Diceros bicornis minor: one gene and its partner. The protein of the gene in region 2 binds, or shares a complex with, the protein of the main gene of each other region. Links are inferred from orthologs where the notes say so. Each region holds a gene or a part of one and is shown on either strand. Other genes may lie near its edges.

Region 1 (8,075 bases), on a different chromosome or scaffold from region 2:
CCTGAACATCTCCCAGAACTTCAACAGGCTCCCAGACTGACATCTGACATAACGGCTCAGCTCAAATCTCAAAATCTTAATGGACAAGAACCAGCAAGCCTGAACTTGAATCAGTGCTAGAAGCTGACCCGTCCATCAACCTAGAGACAAGGAAACACATCTAACTACCTCTACAGACACATTCAACTCCACGCAAGTTTCCCCATGCCCAGATCCTTAACTTATACGTTTTTGGAGTAGAGCTTTTCAATTATAAAAGTACCGTTACATGTTGCTTAACGACAGGAGTACGTTCTGAGAAAAACACCTTCAGGCGATTTCGTCATTGTGTGACCGTTAGAGAGTGCACTTACACAAACCTAGACGGTATAGCCTACCACACACCTAGGCTCCATGGTACTAATCTTATGGGACCACTGTCGTCCATGTGGTTCGTCATTGACCAAAAGGCCGTTATTCAGTGCATGACTGAATAAAATTCTTCTGCCAAGGAAAAAAGGTGGAGAGAAAGAGAAACTGGTAACAGATATTCCTAAAAGCTGGCAACTCTTCCTCCAACACAAACTTACACCTGTCCAAAAAAGTTATCCATTTGAGGGTCCCTCCCTTTCTTATGCCTTATCTGACTCTCCCAAAAATAATTACAAGGATTATAACAGTACTTAGAATTTACTTACAATTACTTTATAGCAATTTACATAAGGTAAATCTGCTGAAACAGATGTCTGTCACCATCAATGACTGCTAAAAATGAAATAAAACTCACTTTTTTCCATAATCTTTAATTTCTGGAAGCTTTCCAGTACCTCCCCATTCAGTATCCTGGGTAAGAAGTCCTGGATTTGCATCACCTCAGTGGTCAGCCGTTCCAGATCCTTCTTTCTGACTTTAACGAATTCTTCCTTAGTTCCCACGTGCTAAAAAAGCAAGCAGATTTTAAGATTACATTTCCTTCAGATCACTAGAACCCGCAGCCCAGGCCAGCTTGCTTCCTTTTCTTCAGGGCCTCTTGAGTTCATAATTGTTTCAAAAGCACGTCTTCACCTAAAGTGCCCTCTGCTATACACGTCATATCTTGAGAGCCGAGCCCCAGCCTTCAAGATGGGAACCAGTTCCCTTTTCTCACAGGCACATGAGAGAAGCTCTAATCCTGAAAACCAAAGAGAATGCCAGCATCTTCCTGAACGTTCCAGCGCCAGGCTAATCAGGAGGGAAGGACGTTTCCTGGGTTCCCACTGGGCGCCCAGCCCTTTGCTGGTCATCTCATTTCGTGGTGTTCACCTCAGCCCTCCGAGGTTGTCCAGGTTGGAAACCAAGGCCTGGGGAGGATGGGTGGCCTTCTCAAAGAAACGCCATTAGCAGGGGGCCGAAGCAGGATGGGAACACGGATCTGCCTCTGGGGTCCGAGCTCCTCCTAAGTCACTGCAGTGACGCCACTACGAGCACTCAGGGGACACTGGTCACCCGTGAAGCCGCATTCTCCCGGAGCACACCCGAGCCCCAGCACAGCGAGGGGCCCTACGGGGCGCGCTGGCTCCGGCGCCGTCGCCTCCCGCTCGGTGCCCACCGGCCCGCCGCGCCGCCCCCACCCCCGTCCAGGCCACGCTGTCCACCCACGAGGCCCAGGCCCTTCCCGAGCGTCCACTGAGGCGCGGGGTAGACAACCGCAGCAGCTGCGGCGCCGGGCCCCCTGACTGACCCGGCAGGCCTCCACAGTCTCCCCGGCCTCGCCCATGGCCGCCACGGCCTCGGCTCCCTGCGCCTGCGCGGCAACGCGCCCTCTGACCTCACACGCAAGAAAGCGCGGGAATGCGTCCACGCCGAGGGGTCGAGTACAGAGAGCCACGAGGCTCAAACTTCATAGAGTTTGCGCAGCGCTCTCAGTCTCGGGGACTGGGGGTGGGCTCGGCGAGATCCCGCATCGCTCTTCTGGCTCAGCCGGGGCTTTAAACTTGTTAACTGCAAAGCAGGACAGTGAGACCCAGGATTAAGTGTCAAATGAGATAAATCGAATTGGCCTTTCTTGTGTGTCTAGGGATGCTAGACTAAGGGGCGATGCGGTCAAGGGAACCACCACCCACGCGGCTGGTGACCACTCTCACCCGCTTGTCTCTGAGCCCCATTAGCAAAGGTCGAAGCTTTCCGACGACAGCTCCTTGGGGAGTCCGCCCCCCCAGGGAGCTTTAGTCCAGTCGGCTGGCTAAGTAACTGAGATGACCACCTGAACTTGGAGACGTCACCGGGTCCATTCTCTTGCCCCAATACGCCCGCTGAGTTCGCGAAACATGGTGCATGCAGCCTGTGGGTTCAGGCGTACCCAGTTACCGCACAACTAAGACCATCCGTCTCGGAAACCCGCAGGAAGCCGACACTGCCCGAGCTCCCGGAGTGCGTGCTCTCCAGGCCTGAGGGCAGACTCGCAAGCACACGCTGCAGATCCCCGCCCTGCCCCTGTCCAGGAACTCGTCCTTGTCCTTGCCCCTGCCCTAAGACCTGCCCCCGCATCAGGACCTGCCCTGCACCTGCCATATCCTGACCATGCACCGGGACCTGCCCTGCACCTGCCATCACCTGACGCTGCACCAGGACCTGCCCCAGCACCGGACCTGCCCTGCACCTGCCATATCCTGCCCCCGCACCGGCCCTGCCCTGCACCTGCCATATCCTGACCCTGCACCGGGACCTGCCCCCGTACCTGCCTCTGCCCCCGTACCGGGACCTTCCCTGCACCTGCCCCGGGACCCAGATGCTGGAGGGTGCTGCCTCTGCCGGCAGTAGAGGCCCAGGGCGGCCCATCGATGGAGCTGCCCTCAATATCACGCCAAAAATCCCAAGGACGGCCCTTCTTCCCAGTCTCCACCCGACCGAGGCGGGCCAAGGACTCCAATGCAACTAAAAACCCGTGTATTTCGTAGGACAGCTGCCTATCGGATGGGGTTTTTGTGGAGAGAGCTTAAAGATTCTAGACCACTTAAAATTGGCCATCCGTCTCTTCCTGGCCAAGACTCAACGCTGGCTTAGCTCGCCGTCAACGGCCCCGAGCTTTGACGACCTAAAGCCCGCGGAAGGGCGACGGCACCACGCGAACCCACGCCGGGCCGCTCCGCCGGCTCCCAGGTCGCGCTGCGAGCCGGGGCCTCCATGACGCCATCAGCGCGCGCGCCGCCGCCCGCGCCGCTTTCTGCGCAGTCGCGGCCCGGACGGCACGGCGGCTGGGGTTCGGCGGCGGCAGCGGGAGGTGGAGGCGCGGCGGGCTGCGGCCGGGGATGCTCCAGCGCACGCGATGGCCCCCGCCATGCAGCCGGCCGAGATCCAGTTCGCTCAGCGGCTGGCGTCCCACGAGAAGGGCATCAGGGACCGGGCGGTGAAGAAGCTGCGCCAGTACCTCAGCGTGAAGACGCAGAGGGAGACAGGTGGGCGCCCGGCGGTTAGCCGCGCCACATGGCGGCCGGGCCGGGGCCGGGGGAGCAGGGAGAGGGTCGGGCACCGGCTCGCACGCCTGCCATTCGCCCCGGTGTGTCCGCACCGTGGGCACCGCTGCCTGCTGGGTCTAGTCCGGTCTTACGGTCGAGGGGCTGCGGCCGCAGGGGTCAGGTAGCCTGCTGAAAGTCACAGCGAGGGGAGAAGCCGAGAATAGACCCAGTCTGCCTGGCTCGGAGCCTGCGCCTTGAATCGCTAGACTCAGCCCGATTTTTTTCTGGTGTGCTCTTCATTGATTCGCGCCTTCGTGTGACCGACGCCTTTAGATGCTGGGGTTCCAGGAGAGCAGACAGAATCCCTACCCTCGAGGAACTTCTGCTAGTAAAGCTAGGGGGCGTAGATAACTAAAACCGAGCTCGTATGAGTGCAGGGGCGGAAATGGAAGTCAGGGCAGGAGGGAGCTCCGCTGCATAGGCAGTTCCAGGAGAGCCTCTCCGGGGTGGTGGTCAGCAGATCTGAACAGAGGCAGGAGGGAAGAGCGGAGCATGCCCTAGGAATGGCTGGAAGACCAGTGAGTCAGGGAGGGCGATGGTACTTTGACATGGAGTCGGAAAAGTAGGCAGTGGCCAGGTCACACCGAGCTTTGTAGTTTGCGTTTTTAGTTCAGTGGGGTGCCTTGAAGGATTTCATTTACCTGATCCAAAATACATTCTGTAAACCCTTGGGTGAGCACATGAGGTATGAACTGCACTGTGGATAGAGGTTTTATGTTGCGCTAGGAAAAAGTTTGATTCACTTACTGCTAACAGGAATACATTTAGAGTATACTTGAAAAAATAGATATCTCCTTGTTTTACTTATGAAGCGAAATCACGAAAGACTACCCAGGAAAAAGAAAATGCAATTTTATGCGAAGTCTGCTAGAAAGAGGAATGAAGACCAGAATTCTTGACTTCAGTTCTATTAGGAATCTCCTTGAGAGATTTAGTTTACTTTGATGGTTTCAGGTATCACATATATGCTGAAAGTTCCTAAACCTAAATTTCTAGCCCAGACCTTTGCTACTTTCAGCTCAGCTATTCCCTACTAACCTGACATCTCCACCTGGATGTCCCACAGGCACCTCAGATGCAGAATGCCCAAAAGTGACTCATTTTCTTCACCCCAAAACCTATTCTCTTCTGCTGCTGCCCTGCCACCTGTGCTCTCTTATGTTGGTTGCTAGTTCCCACCATCCCCTCAGACTCTAGCTGGACACAGTATTGTCCTGGACTCTGCTCTCCCTCATCCTCTCCCCCTGCTCCACGTCCAGCATCCCTTGGTCCTACCTCTTTTGTCTCCTGAATTACTCTGTCCTGACCAAAGGCTCTCTTTATCTCATCTAGACTCCTGCACTTTCCCGCTTCCCCACTGATCTCCTTACCTCCATTTGTCCCCCCTTGAACTTGTCCTCCACAAGCAAGCCAAGAGTCTTCTTCCTAAAACACCACCTTCCTGGAATCCCAGGCCTGCAGATCATGATCTGTCTTCCTTTTCTCTTTCCACCTCAGCGCCTATGTGACTGCTTCTCGCTCCATCAACAGGAAGCCACTCTTGGTTCCTGGTGTACAGTACACCATTTCTCACCTCTCTGCCTTTGCTTCTCTTCACTCCAAAAAGATTCCCACCCTTGATCCACTCCCAGCATTCAGTTCAGTATCACTTCCTCCAAAATGCCTTCCCTATCATCTCACCCCCACTCCTCTAGGATTCTGAAAGATACAGTATGTCTCTATTGTAGCACTTAGCTACATTGATTCTTAATTATGTGTTAATGTGTCATTCTTCCCCCAAAACACTGTAAGCTTCCGTCTGTTTTCTTAGCTGAAAGTGGGAGCATATCCAGGCATACGAGGGCCTGACTGTATACAAGAGCAGAAGAAAGACCAGATGCAGTACATATGGAGCTGAGACAGCCAGACAGGCCTGTTGCTCAAACCCCTTTGCAGAGCAAGCCCAGGATATGAAATGTATGTTGAGGCGACGCGGGAGCGTGAGGCCAGTGTGCTTACACCAATGCCCCAGAGTCCTGCCTGGTTAGCGCCCATCACACCTAGAGTTACTTGTCTTGTAACTCTTGTTCACCACTAGATCCACATTGCACAGAATATAGTGGGCCTTCAAAAAAGGATCTGCAAAGTGAGTGTTATAGACGGTGATGGTGGGACAGATGAACAAGGTCTCTGCCACAGCTGTGCTCTGTCAAATTAGAAACACGAGTTTGGAAATAACTTGGCCTGACATTTGAATCTCATTGGTAGGCTGAAATTTTTTTGCATCTTGTCTAGGCATAGTAAAGGCAATCTGAAATTTTACTTACTGATACATGTAGCCGTCCATCGTAGGTAGCTTTGTGATTTTGAAAACAAATTGGAGATCTTCGTAGTGCTTAAAGCAGCTCAGTGTTGCTCTGGCGCTTTAACTGCTCGTGTGGGGCCTCCACGGTCATAGAACGGTCACTGTGCATGGTTTTACTCATTAGGGCTCATTGGTCCCTGTTTATTCATGCATTCATGTCTTTGGCAGTGAAAACACAGAGAAAAATCCCTGCCTGTTTGAGCAATTCTGCAACTTTAAACATTTAACATCTACTAGAATTGGGATATACGTTAAAGTCAACCTGTGACAGTTTCATTTGCATTCTTGCTTTCTTTTGGGGGCACGTGAAATAGTACATCTTACAGTTGGTGGTGTCTTAGATTCAGTGCCAGTAATAGGGGAAATAAGTGTTTTTCTTACAATAGGATTAGAGGTCTCTCGACCCAGTAGTTAGAGCTAAGAGCTGTGTGTGTTTTGACACTGGTGTGAGTTGGCGCGTGCTCCTTCACCCCCACCTACAATGGCTGCTGTGCTCCTTTCGTGATGAAAGTAGCTGTTGGGTTTTCTTGTCTCACGGCTTATGGGTGTTTACTGTATCCACGTCTGACTTGCATGCTCACCTCGTTCGTTTTGAAATAACTAAACCTGTATTGTCGTCAGAAACTTAGTTGTATTAAGTTTAAGAAACTCAACCCCAAGAAGGAAAGACAGATCAAGAAGCAGTTGTGCAATGAAACTGCTTCAGATACGTACTTCACCTTCAGTTTTGAAAGAAATTAAATTGTGAGAGTTTCTCTGTTTTGTTTTAAATCCTTCAAAAATTGGTACCTTGTTTTAACCAGCTATTCCTGGGTGAAAACAGGTGATTTTTATGCATATATTGAAAACAGATGTTTTAAAAGGGAAACGAGCTTCAGTAGCCTATGGGTAGAGAACATGAGACAGTCATAATAATAGCCACCAACTAAATGGCTTTGGTCTTACAAGTGCCTCTCATACATCTTTTTTTTTTTTTTTAAAGATTTTACTTATTTATTTTTCCCCCCAAAGCCCCAGTAGATAGTTGTATGTCATAGCTGCACATCCTTCTAGTTGCTGTATGTGGGACTCAGCCTCAGCATGGCGGGAGAAGCAGTGCCTCGGTGCGCCCCGGGGATCCGAACCCCGGGCCACCAGCAGCGGAGCACGCGCACTTAACCGCCAAGCCACGGGCCGGCCCTCATACATGTCTTAATTTTGATCCTAACCATAAACCTTACATATATTATAGGAAACTGAGGGTCAAAGGGGTAGCTGCTGTTTTCTAATACTGCACAGCAAGTGAGTAGCAGGCTGGGGCCTAACAAAGGGTTTGCTCCCACTCTGCTTGTGCCTCGCATAGAGTGAAGCAGTCAGAATGTGTTTTCACGTCCAGCTCCCTTTCCTGCCCACTGTCTGGGACCTACTGTCACCCTGTTGCTTTGTCGAAATCTATTGTTTTCCATTACAAAAGCTTGTGTAGCGCATTATATTGTACCTCTGCCTATTACAGCTGTGGATTATCCAGAGATATTTGAGTATATCAAATTATCACATAGAGTTGGCTTGACATACTGGTACACTTAGAAGAACCATCTAGAGATAAATATACACCATGCTTTTTTTTTTTTTTTTTTTGGTGAGGAAGATTAGCCCTGAGCTAACATCCAATGCCAATCCTCCCCTTTTTGCTAAGGAAGGTTGGCCCTGGGCTAACATCCATGCCCATCTTCCTCAACTTTATATGGGACACTGCCACAGCATGGCTTGACAAGCGGTGCATCGGTCCGCGCCTGGGATCCGAACCTGTGAACCCTGGGCCACCAAAAATTAAGTCCACGCAGCACACGAACTTAACCACTACGCCACCGGGCTGGCCACACACCCTGCTATTTTTAAGTGAAAAAGGCCAGATACAGACATACAGAATACAGGTTACACACACAACTATGCATTTCTGTATTACATTTAAGTGTTATGTAAATGCATTGGAAAGATGCACATCAGGCAGATAACAGTGGTCCTTCTGGGGAGGGGACTGGGAATCAGGAGGCAGTGAACAAGACACTTGATTGTATGACTTTTGATGTAGTATATGAATTTTTTGCAATAAAAATGTATTTTCAGGGGCCGGCCCGGTGGCGCAAGCGGTTAAGTGCACGCGCTCCGCTGCGGCGGCCCGGGGTTCGCTGGTTCGGATCCCGGGCGCGCACCGACGCACTGCTTGGTAAGCCATGCTGTGGCGGTGTCCCATATAAAGTGGAGGAAGATGGGCACCG
Region 2 (7,393 bases):
CACCCTGGGCAAGAGGGCTCTGGCCGCGACCCTCCCGCGCAGGCGCAGCTGTCCGGAGAGCCTCTCGCAGGCTGAACACAGTTGCGAGGCCAGGCCAAGGGGCCGCGCACCTACAGTGCTCTGCCCGGCCGGTTTTAAGGCCTTACCGAGCCACAGGCCCCACTCCCGAGGTCCTCTGCCCTCCGGGCGGCTTGTCGTGTAACCGTCTTCCTGGGCTTTGCAAACTGAGGCACGAACCTCCCAAGTGAGGTCTGTGAACCAGAAACAAGAACAAAGCAGCAGTAAAGATAAGGGAGGAAGGCAGGCCCAGGAAAAACCAAGCAGCAAGGCCCGTTCCTTTCTCCAGCCTCCAACGCGGCCCCTGCCCCCATCCCTGTGCACACTCTCCCGAGCCCGCCTGGGCAGAGTGAGCAGGAACACGGACTCCAGCTGCAGGGGCCAGCTCTTGTGCAAGCACGAGGCTGCGAACCGGCTCACCTGGGAAGGGGGAAGGCGCCCTGGCTCCTCTTCTGGCTGCCTGAGGAGCCTGGAGGGGGGTCCTGCTTCCTCCTCAGGGGAGCTGGGCGGAGAAAGACAAAACAGAGGAGGTTCTGAAGTCCTCCGAGGCTGCCAACATGCTTCGTAAGACAGGGAAGGAGCTCCGAAGGCAGAGTAGTGCTCAGAGCCTCCTCTGAGGGAGGCCTGGAGCCCCTGCCTGGAGGGAGGGGGGTGGGCAGCACCCTGCAACGTTAACCGCCAGGAAGCATGCAGAGCCCCACAGCCGGGGTGTGAGCGGCACCTCTGCCCTACAAGCCCAGGAGCCGCTCCTGCAGAGAGAACAGGAATTCTCATGTGGACTGACGGCCCAGCCCCAAGTCTGCCAATGCTAGAGGAGGGAAGTGCAGATGCGGGAAACACGGGGTCCAAAACACGGCGCAGTCACAGTTGCCGCAACGTGGAAGCCACGGAGACGTCCTGCGGCAGGGGAGCGCATAAGTAAACTGTGGTGCCTCCCGACAACGGGGCAGTACTCAGCGCTGGAGAGAAAGGGCTCTGGAGCCATGAACAGACGTGGAGGAGCCTTAAGTGCGTGTTCCTCAGTGAAAGAAGCCATCTGAGAAGACAGTGGCCTGTGTGATTCCAACTCGGTGACGCTCTGGAAGAGGCAGAACTAGGGAGACAGTAAAAAGATCAGTGGTCGCTGAGGTGGGAGGGAGAGGAACAGGCAAGGATTTTCAAGGCAGTGAAATACCCCGTATGACACTATAATGGTGGAAACACGTCACCACCCATTTGTCCAAACCCACAGGATGTACACCAAGAGTGAGCCCTCAAGTCAACTACGGACTCTGGGTGACAATGAGGTGTCCACGGAGGTTCATCCTTGGTGACAAATGCACCATTCCCGTCAGTGATGGTGATAATGGGGGAGGCCGTGCATGTGTGGGGGCCGGGGGTATGTGGGAAATCTCCATTTTACTGTAAGCCTAAAACTGCTTGAAAAAAATAAACTGCTCTTAAAAAAAAAACTGGTGAGACTTATGGCTATAGCTAAATAAATGTGGATATGTATATGGTAAAAAAAGATCGACATCTGGAACTGAAACTTACACGATTTCAACTTTGGAAGGGGAGCAGGAGGAGGCATGAGGACACGCTAAGGGGCCTGCGCTGCGCCCAGGCAGGTTACGGAGACAGAACGAGCCTAGATGCTGATGGCAACAGTCTGCTCCACGGTTTTTAATTGGGACGGGGTGTTCGGGAGGCTTCTGGGGTGCTGCTGGCAAGATGTCATTTCTCAACACGCATGTGTTCCGCTTGTCTGCTTTCTGTTCTTTTTTTCCTGTGTTATATTTCTGTGCATGTGGTACTTCTTAGTAAAACATTTAAAAAACAACAGAAAACAAGAGAGTGGGAACCCACTTCTGTGGGCTCCATTCCCGTGGACTCAGACGGCAGGGCGGGCAGCAGCCGAGACCCCGTGGGCCCTGTTGGCCTCTCCGGGAGTGAGGGGCGTGGTGACACTGCGGTGTCTGTCTGGGAGAAGGGCTGTGACACATGGCCCCTCTTCATGTCACACACACAGGGCTGCCTTCCGTCCTCAGACTGCAATGACCTGAGATCAGATACGCACACCCCCGGCCCCCGAGAAAACTGCTCTGTCAGCGGCCCACATGCCTCAATTTCTAATTCAGAAAATTTGGCAGTCCCATCCATGACGCCTTCTCTGAAGACTCTGGCTGGCAGGAACCGCTCTTCTCCTAACTCCTGCTAACCCTTCCTACTTTGCTCAAGTTACGTGTGGTTTAACCCTGTGGACAGACTAAACTGTTCTCCAGGTCTTTCTTTTTCCCCACTGTGCATAATGACATATATCCTGAAAAAATTAAGGAACTGGGGAAACGGAGCCAGACGCAGCCAGCTCAGACCCGGCCTTGCACCAGCTCAGAGGCCTTGGGCAAGTCATTTGCTCTCTTGAAGCCTCAGGGTCCTTACCAGTCAAATGGGGAGAAAAACTGACTTTACAGCTGCAAGGATCCAATGAGCTGATGTGTGTAAAGCGCTTATTAACTCGCTGCCTGGCACACAATGATTGTTTTTCCCTTTTACTAGTCATTATTTAGCAGACCCACGACTCCTTGGTCCCTTCTTGATTGAGAAGGAATGTGGGATACATACGGATTAGGCCAGCAGACAGGACATGCTGTTGCATCCGTAACTAAGTGACCTTGGAAATTGGAGGTTTTCCTCGCCTGTGGTTAAAACATCGACCTTTCTTGCTGGAGAAGCGAGTCCTGGGAGGAAAGCTTCAAGAAGCACAGTCTGAGGGCCCTGAGCCCCCGGGGGAGGCACCGCATGGGACGGGTTGTGTTGGTCCCCCCGCCCCCCAACCCTGTGCACTGGCCCCTGTGCTGTGCTGTCATCAGGGAGGCTGCTGGAAGATTCTCAGCCACCTACCTGGAGGCCGCCTGTCCTGGCTCCTCCCTGCTCCGCTCTGCAGAGGAAGCGGGTCCTGAGCTGCCTTCTGACTCATCAGGGTGATGTAAACAGCCCGACTGGGAACTCTGGGGGGCCCCATCACAGTCTCCTAGCCTCAAGTTCTTTGGGGGTTTCGGAAGACGGATTCCTTCTCCTCCTGGTTAGAGACAAAGGGAGATGAAAGGGTGGCGTGTTAGAAACAACCAAACAAGGCAGGACCACCGCGGCCAAGCGAGCAGGCTCGTCCAAGGCCAGGACACCCCTGCTCCGACGGCCGCCTGGAGAGCGAGAGATGGGATGCAACCTCGTCCAAGAGGTGGGACCTAGGAGCTTACGCGGCCATGGGATTCTAAGGCCTTTTCGCTACGGCCTGGTCGTGGCTGTGGCTGAATCCTGAGGGAGCCTGGCGTGGCTCCAAACCACCCGAGACACCCTGGCCCAGCCGGTCTCTCTGGGGAAGTGGCAGGAGGTACGTGCTGGCTCTTCCAAGTCTCAGCTCAAATTTCCCTGCAGAGGGGCCACCCCTGACTCCTCCACAGAGCACCCCCTTGCAGCCCCAGGCTCTGCCTCCTTCACGCCACAGCTTTCCTGCAAGGACCCCATGGACTGGGTCATTTTCTGGCCCCCCTCTACAACGTGCTCCATGCAAGGAGGGGCCTCGTCTGCAGGGTCCCCCGTGCCTAGAAGAGCATCCAGGAGATCACTCCCGGGGAGATGCAGCCAGCACTGGATCCCGTGTCCTCTAGTTTCTCGATGTCCGCAGAGCACCCCCACCGGGAGAGCTGGGACCCGAGTCATTGAGTGCCAAGGTGATGTCTCGGCCGCCCCTGGTCCCTTACATCTCTGCGATACCTTCCCCATCGCTGAGTGCAACTTAGAACCTAAAGGTGCTTATTAACAGCTATTTGTTGAATGAAGGAAACTCCCTTGCACAGAAACTGCCACCAGCGGCTGGCTTGGACGACCTCCCCAAACCTGACCCCGACTTAATCACCGATTCAATGAACAAATGCTAAGGGCTGACTCTGGTGAGTTCCACGCCAGACACTGGCCTGACAACCTGGGTGCGTCAAGACAAAACTTTGAGGTAGGGTCCTGCTGTAATGCCCATTTTACAGATCAGAAACCCAAGGCACATGGAGCCAAGGGATCGGGACTGGGATGCAGGCAGTCCAACTCCAGAGCCTGCACACTTCACTGTACTTGAGCATTTACTGAGCACATACTGTGTACTGTGCTTCTGAGAACAAAAAGACTAACCAGACCCAGGCCTGATCTTCCTGGGTTCAGGGAGGGAGACCCTTTTGAACCTCTGCTCCCTCCTCCCAACGCCGACGCCGGGGTCCTCCTCAGCACTCCCCTGGCTGTTCATACTCCACTAGACGGCAGCGCCTTCCTGTCATTTCCCCTAACTCTGTCCATACGGTACGGTTCATGCGTGCCATTAAGAACTGTACTCCACTGCCGTGTATTCAGTTAGCTCTCCCCATGAGGAGCATTTTCCTTTCTCCCGACTAGACCTTGAGGGTGCTGAGGGCAGGAACCGAGTCCTCTGCACCCTTTGACCTCATCCCTGCCCTGCCTCTGCCCCCAGGTGCCCACCCCAGCACTGCCTCTAGGGCCAGGCTCCGACCCACGTTTCTTACACTAACACATTCCCACCTTGAGGCTTGCCAAAAAAGGCAAAATACAGCAGCTTCGTTTACTTGGTTTCTTAAGATGCCCAGACACTAGCTCGCTTTGCTTGTCCAATGAACATTTGTACCAAATAAAAAGCAAAAATATCAACAGAAGTGAAGAGCCTCCCCTTTCCTTCCGGTGATCTGTCCCCACAAGACTAATTTAAGAAAAACGAAGGCCAAACCTTGTGTAGTGCAGGGAAACGGCCTCTTTCACCACCTGCCAGAATCATCTGTCTCTCTCCCCGCCCCATCCAGGACACACAGAAACTGCTGTCCCGGGCCGGCCCAGGGGGCCACTGATCTGGGGAGTCCACTGCCAAGAGAGGCCCCAAGAGACCTGCTGTGGGTGGGCCTGTCCCCGGCTCCCCCCAGGTCAGAGAAATTCCTGTGCCTCCAAGCAGCCTGTTGTGCATCTCTGCACAAAAACATTTCAACCCGTTGGTAATTAATTTTCTATCCCACATCTTGGGAAAAAAATGAGTGTTCCTCCCTAAGTTCATTAAGCACTCAGTAAAGAAGTCATTTCTAAACTTTTGAGAAGTTGAAGTTACCTTAGACAATAACAAGGAAATGGAACCATACCATGTAATATGGGCCGTCTTTCTTTTTGAACGAGGAAATTCTACGTGTATATTGACAAGTAAAGACAATCTTGATCTACCAGGAAGCGGAAAACGGAGGGTGCAGAGCAGAACGTGTGATGACTCAATTTTCCAATAAAAACACTCTATTTGCGTATACACAGAAAAAGTTTAGAAGCAGCAGTGTGCCGCGGTTCATTTCCTGGTTTTTAAGCTGTACTACATGGCTGATCACCGTCCTGCGGTTTTGCCAGACGGCAACGTTAGGGGAAGCTGGGGGAAGGGGAGACAGAACTCTCAACTATTTCTTGCAACTTTTCTGTAAGCCCCAAATTATTTCAAAATGAAGTTTTCTGAAAAGCCTGGAAGGGCAATCATAACAGCAGCATGCATCGGTGTCCTTCCTGGGGTCTACTCTCCGTGCTCTGCAAATATACTAACCCACGTGTGAGCTCTGGGCCTGGCTCTCAACCTCGGCACAGCTGACCTCCGGGGCTGCATCATTCTGGGTCATACAGGCCATCCGGGGCGCTGTAGGATTCTGAGCAGCATCCCTGGCCTCAGCCACTAAATGACAGTACCACCCCCAACACACAATTGTGAAAACCAAATATGTCTCTAGATGTTGCCAAATGTCCTCTAGGGGGCAAATTCCTCCCTGACCAGGTTGAGAATCACTAAAGGAAGGGTAGGTGCTCTTAGGATCTCCTATATACAGAAAGGGGAAACTGAGGCCCAGAGTACATCATCTGCCATCATGCAGTGAGCAGGAGTGCTGGGAGGAACCCAGGTCTTGGCTCAAGAGCAAAGCACTTAGCCACACACCAGATGGCCGTGCAGCACGTCGAGCCCTATCCAGGGGTCGTCTTTGAGAGTGGGCCCCAGGGAGGTGGCACCCCGCCCTGAAGGCTGTGGGATCCCACCGGGGGCTCCAGGAAGCCCCACGAAGCTTTCCCTTCTCACTGTATGCACTCCTCCGTAGTTTATACTTTCCTTACCGGCACGTATTAAGTCATCACTTTCTTCTTAAGGAGCTTGGTGTGGTCATGGTAGCATCTCTGCAATCAGTAAGCCCACATTCCTCCCACCAGCAGAGGCAGCACTAAAGAGGTGTCCACCCGAACGACCAAGTACCTGAGGTCCGAGCCTTCTTCCTCTTACTCATGTTATCCTTCCTTGAGAAACCTGAAAACAGCCAGCCAAACCCCAGCATTACACTCAGTCCCCGCCCCTGGGCGCAGAGCCCCCTGCCTCGCTGAGGGCGGAAGCCCCCCGCGCCCACCTCGGCCCATCTGGCTGCTCCGAGGGGTCAGCTGGGCCCCACGAGGGCACAGGGCGGGAGCCACAGCCACGTCGGCTGTGGCCGGGGAAGAAGTGGAACCTGCGCGCTGCGGAGGGGACGGGGACTGCCCGGCGCCTGCCCAGGGCCTCCGCGCACGTGGGCACCGGGTCCTCGTGGAAAGCCCTGGGGACCCGGGACCTCGTCCCTAAGTCGGGGCGGCGTTTGTGAAGCCCCCTTCCTCCAGACAGGGGTCTCCAGGACCCTTCCGGGGACACCTGGGGACTTCAGAGGGGCCACTTGGGGCCCTTCGAGGAGTGGCGAGCCCTTCGGGGATGCTTGGGGCCTGGGAGGGGCCGGAGTCGCCTCAGGGGCCGATGAGCCCACACCGACCTGGGCGCAAGGAGTCGTCAGGTCTCGCTGTCCTTATCGGGAACTAGGGAGGTCGGCCTGGATCTGCTGGGGGACAAGTCGGTTAAATCATTTGCGTTAATTTTGGGGGGAAAACACCAGTAGGCCCTCACGGAGACGGGGCAGCCGGGGCGCTGGAGCCGAAGGGCCAGGAGGCCCCTCAGGGCCGGGGCCCGAGCGCTGTGGACCCGGCTTCCGGTGACCAGGCCCACACTAGCCCCACCCCGGCCACTGAAAAGTGAGGACTGCCCAGACCGAGACCGCCAGGTGAGGCCGGAGCCCGTAGGAGGCCGTGAGACGCCGCCTCCCCCGTCACCCGCGTGCGCCCCGCCTCTTTCCCGCGCACTGCGAGGCCCCGCCGCGCGCATGCGCGATGCTAGCACCGCCCTCACACGCTCCGCCTCTTTCCCGCGCAACCCATGGCACCGCCCGCCGCCCCGCAGCGCGCATGCGTACTCGCGCACTGCCTGCCGGGAGTTGTA

Evidence for each region.
Region 1: the proteins of BRME1 (region 2) and HSF2BP are in contact, whole or in part, in a crystal structure (PDB 7Z8Z), measured with the Mus musculus proteins. The link is inferred for Diceros bicornis minor from reciprocal best matches to the Homo sapiens genes BRME1 and HSF2BP. Residues at the interface, in NP_083321.2 of Mus musculus: Met541, Gln542, Asp543, Ala544, Thr545, Val548, Arg549, Leu551, Val552, Leu555, Ser556, Asn559, Ile562, Met563, Thr565, His566, Leu569, Lys573; in NP_083178.1 of Mus musculus: Glu23, Phe24, Val25, Lys26, Val27, Arg28, Asp31, Leu32, Arg34, Leu35, Glu38, Val39, Gln41, Ile42, Phe45, Leu46, Arg48, Ile49, Glu53, Leu54.

The regions. Positions count from the first base shown.
Region 1 is NC_080766.1:43,114,090-43,122,164, forward strand, and holds the start of HSF2BP (heat shock factor 2-binding protein), read right to left. Parts: upstream 3,087-8,075; 5' UTR 2,696-3,086; intron 2,461-2,695; exon of another isoform or gene 2,300-2,460; 5' UTR 2,222-2,299; exon of another isoform or gene 2,124-2,221; coding exon of another isoform or gene 2,103-2,123; intron 1,960-2,102; 5' UTR 1,736-1,959; coding exon 1,700-1,735; intron 918-1,699; coding exon 767-917; intron 1-766. Other genes in the region: RRP1B (ribosomal RNA processing protein 1 homolog B), read left to right, coding at 3,284-3,413. UniProt on the Homo sapiens protein: Meiotic recombination factor component of recombination bridges involved in meiotic double-strand break repair.
Region 2 is NC_080769.1:3,770,327-3,777,719, reverse strand, and holds the start of BRME1 (break repair meiotic recombinase recruitment factor 1), read right to left. Parts: upstream 2,938-7,393; intron 2,787-2,937; 5' UTR 2,659-2,786; intron 1,711-2,658; exon of another isoform or gene 1,151-1,710; 5' UTR 832-1,150; coding exon 478-831; intron 252-477; coding exon 147-251; intron 1-146. UniProt on the Homo sapiens protein: Meiotic recombination factor component of recombination bridges involved in meiotic double-strand break repair.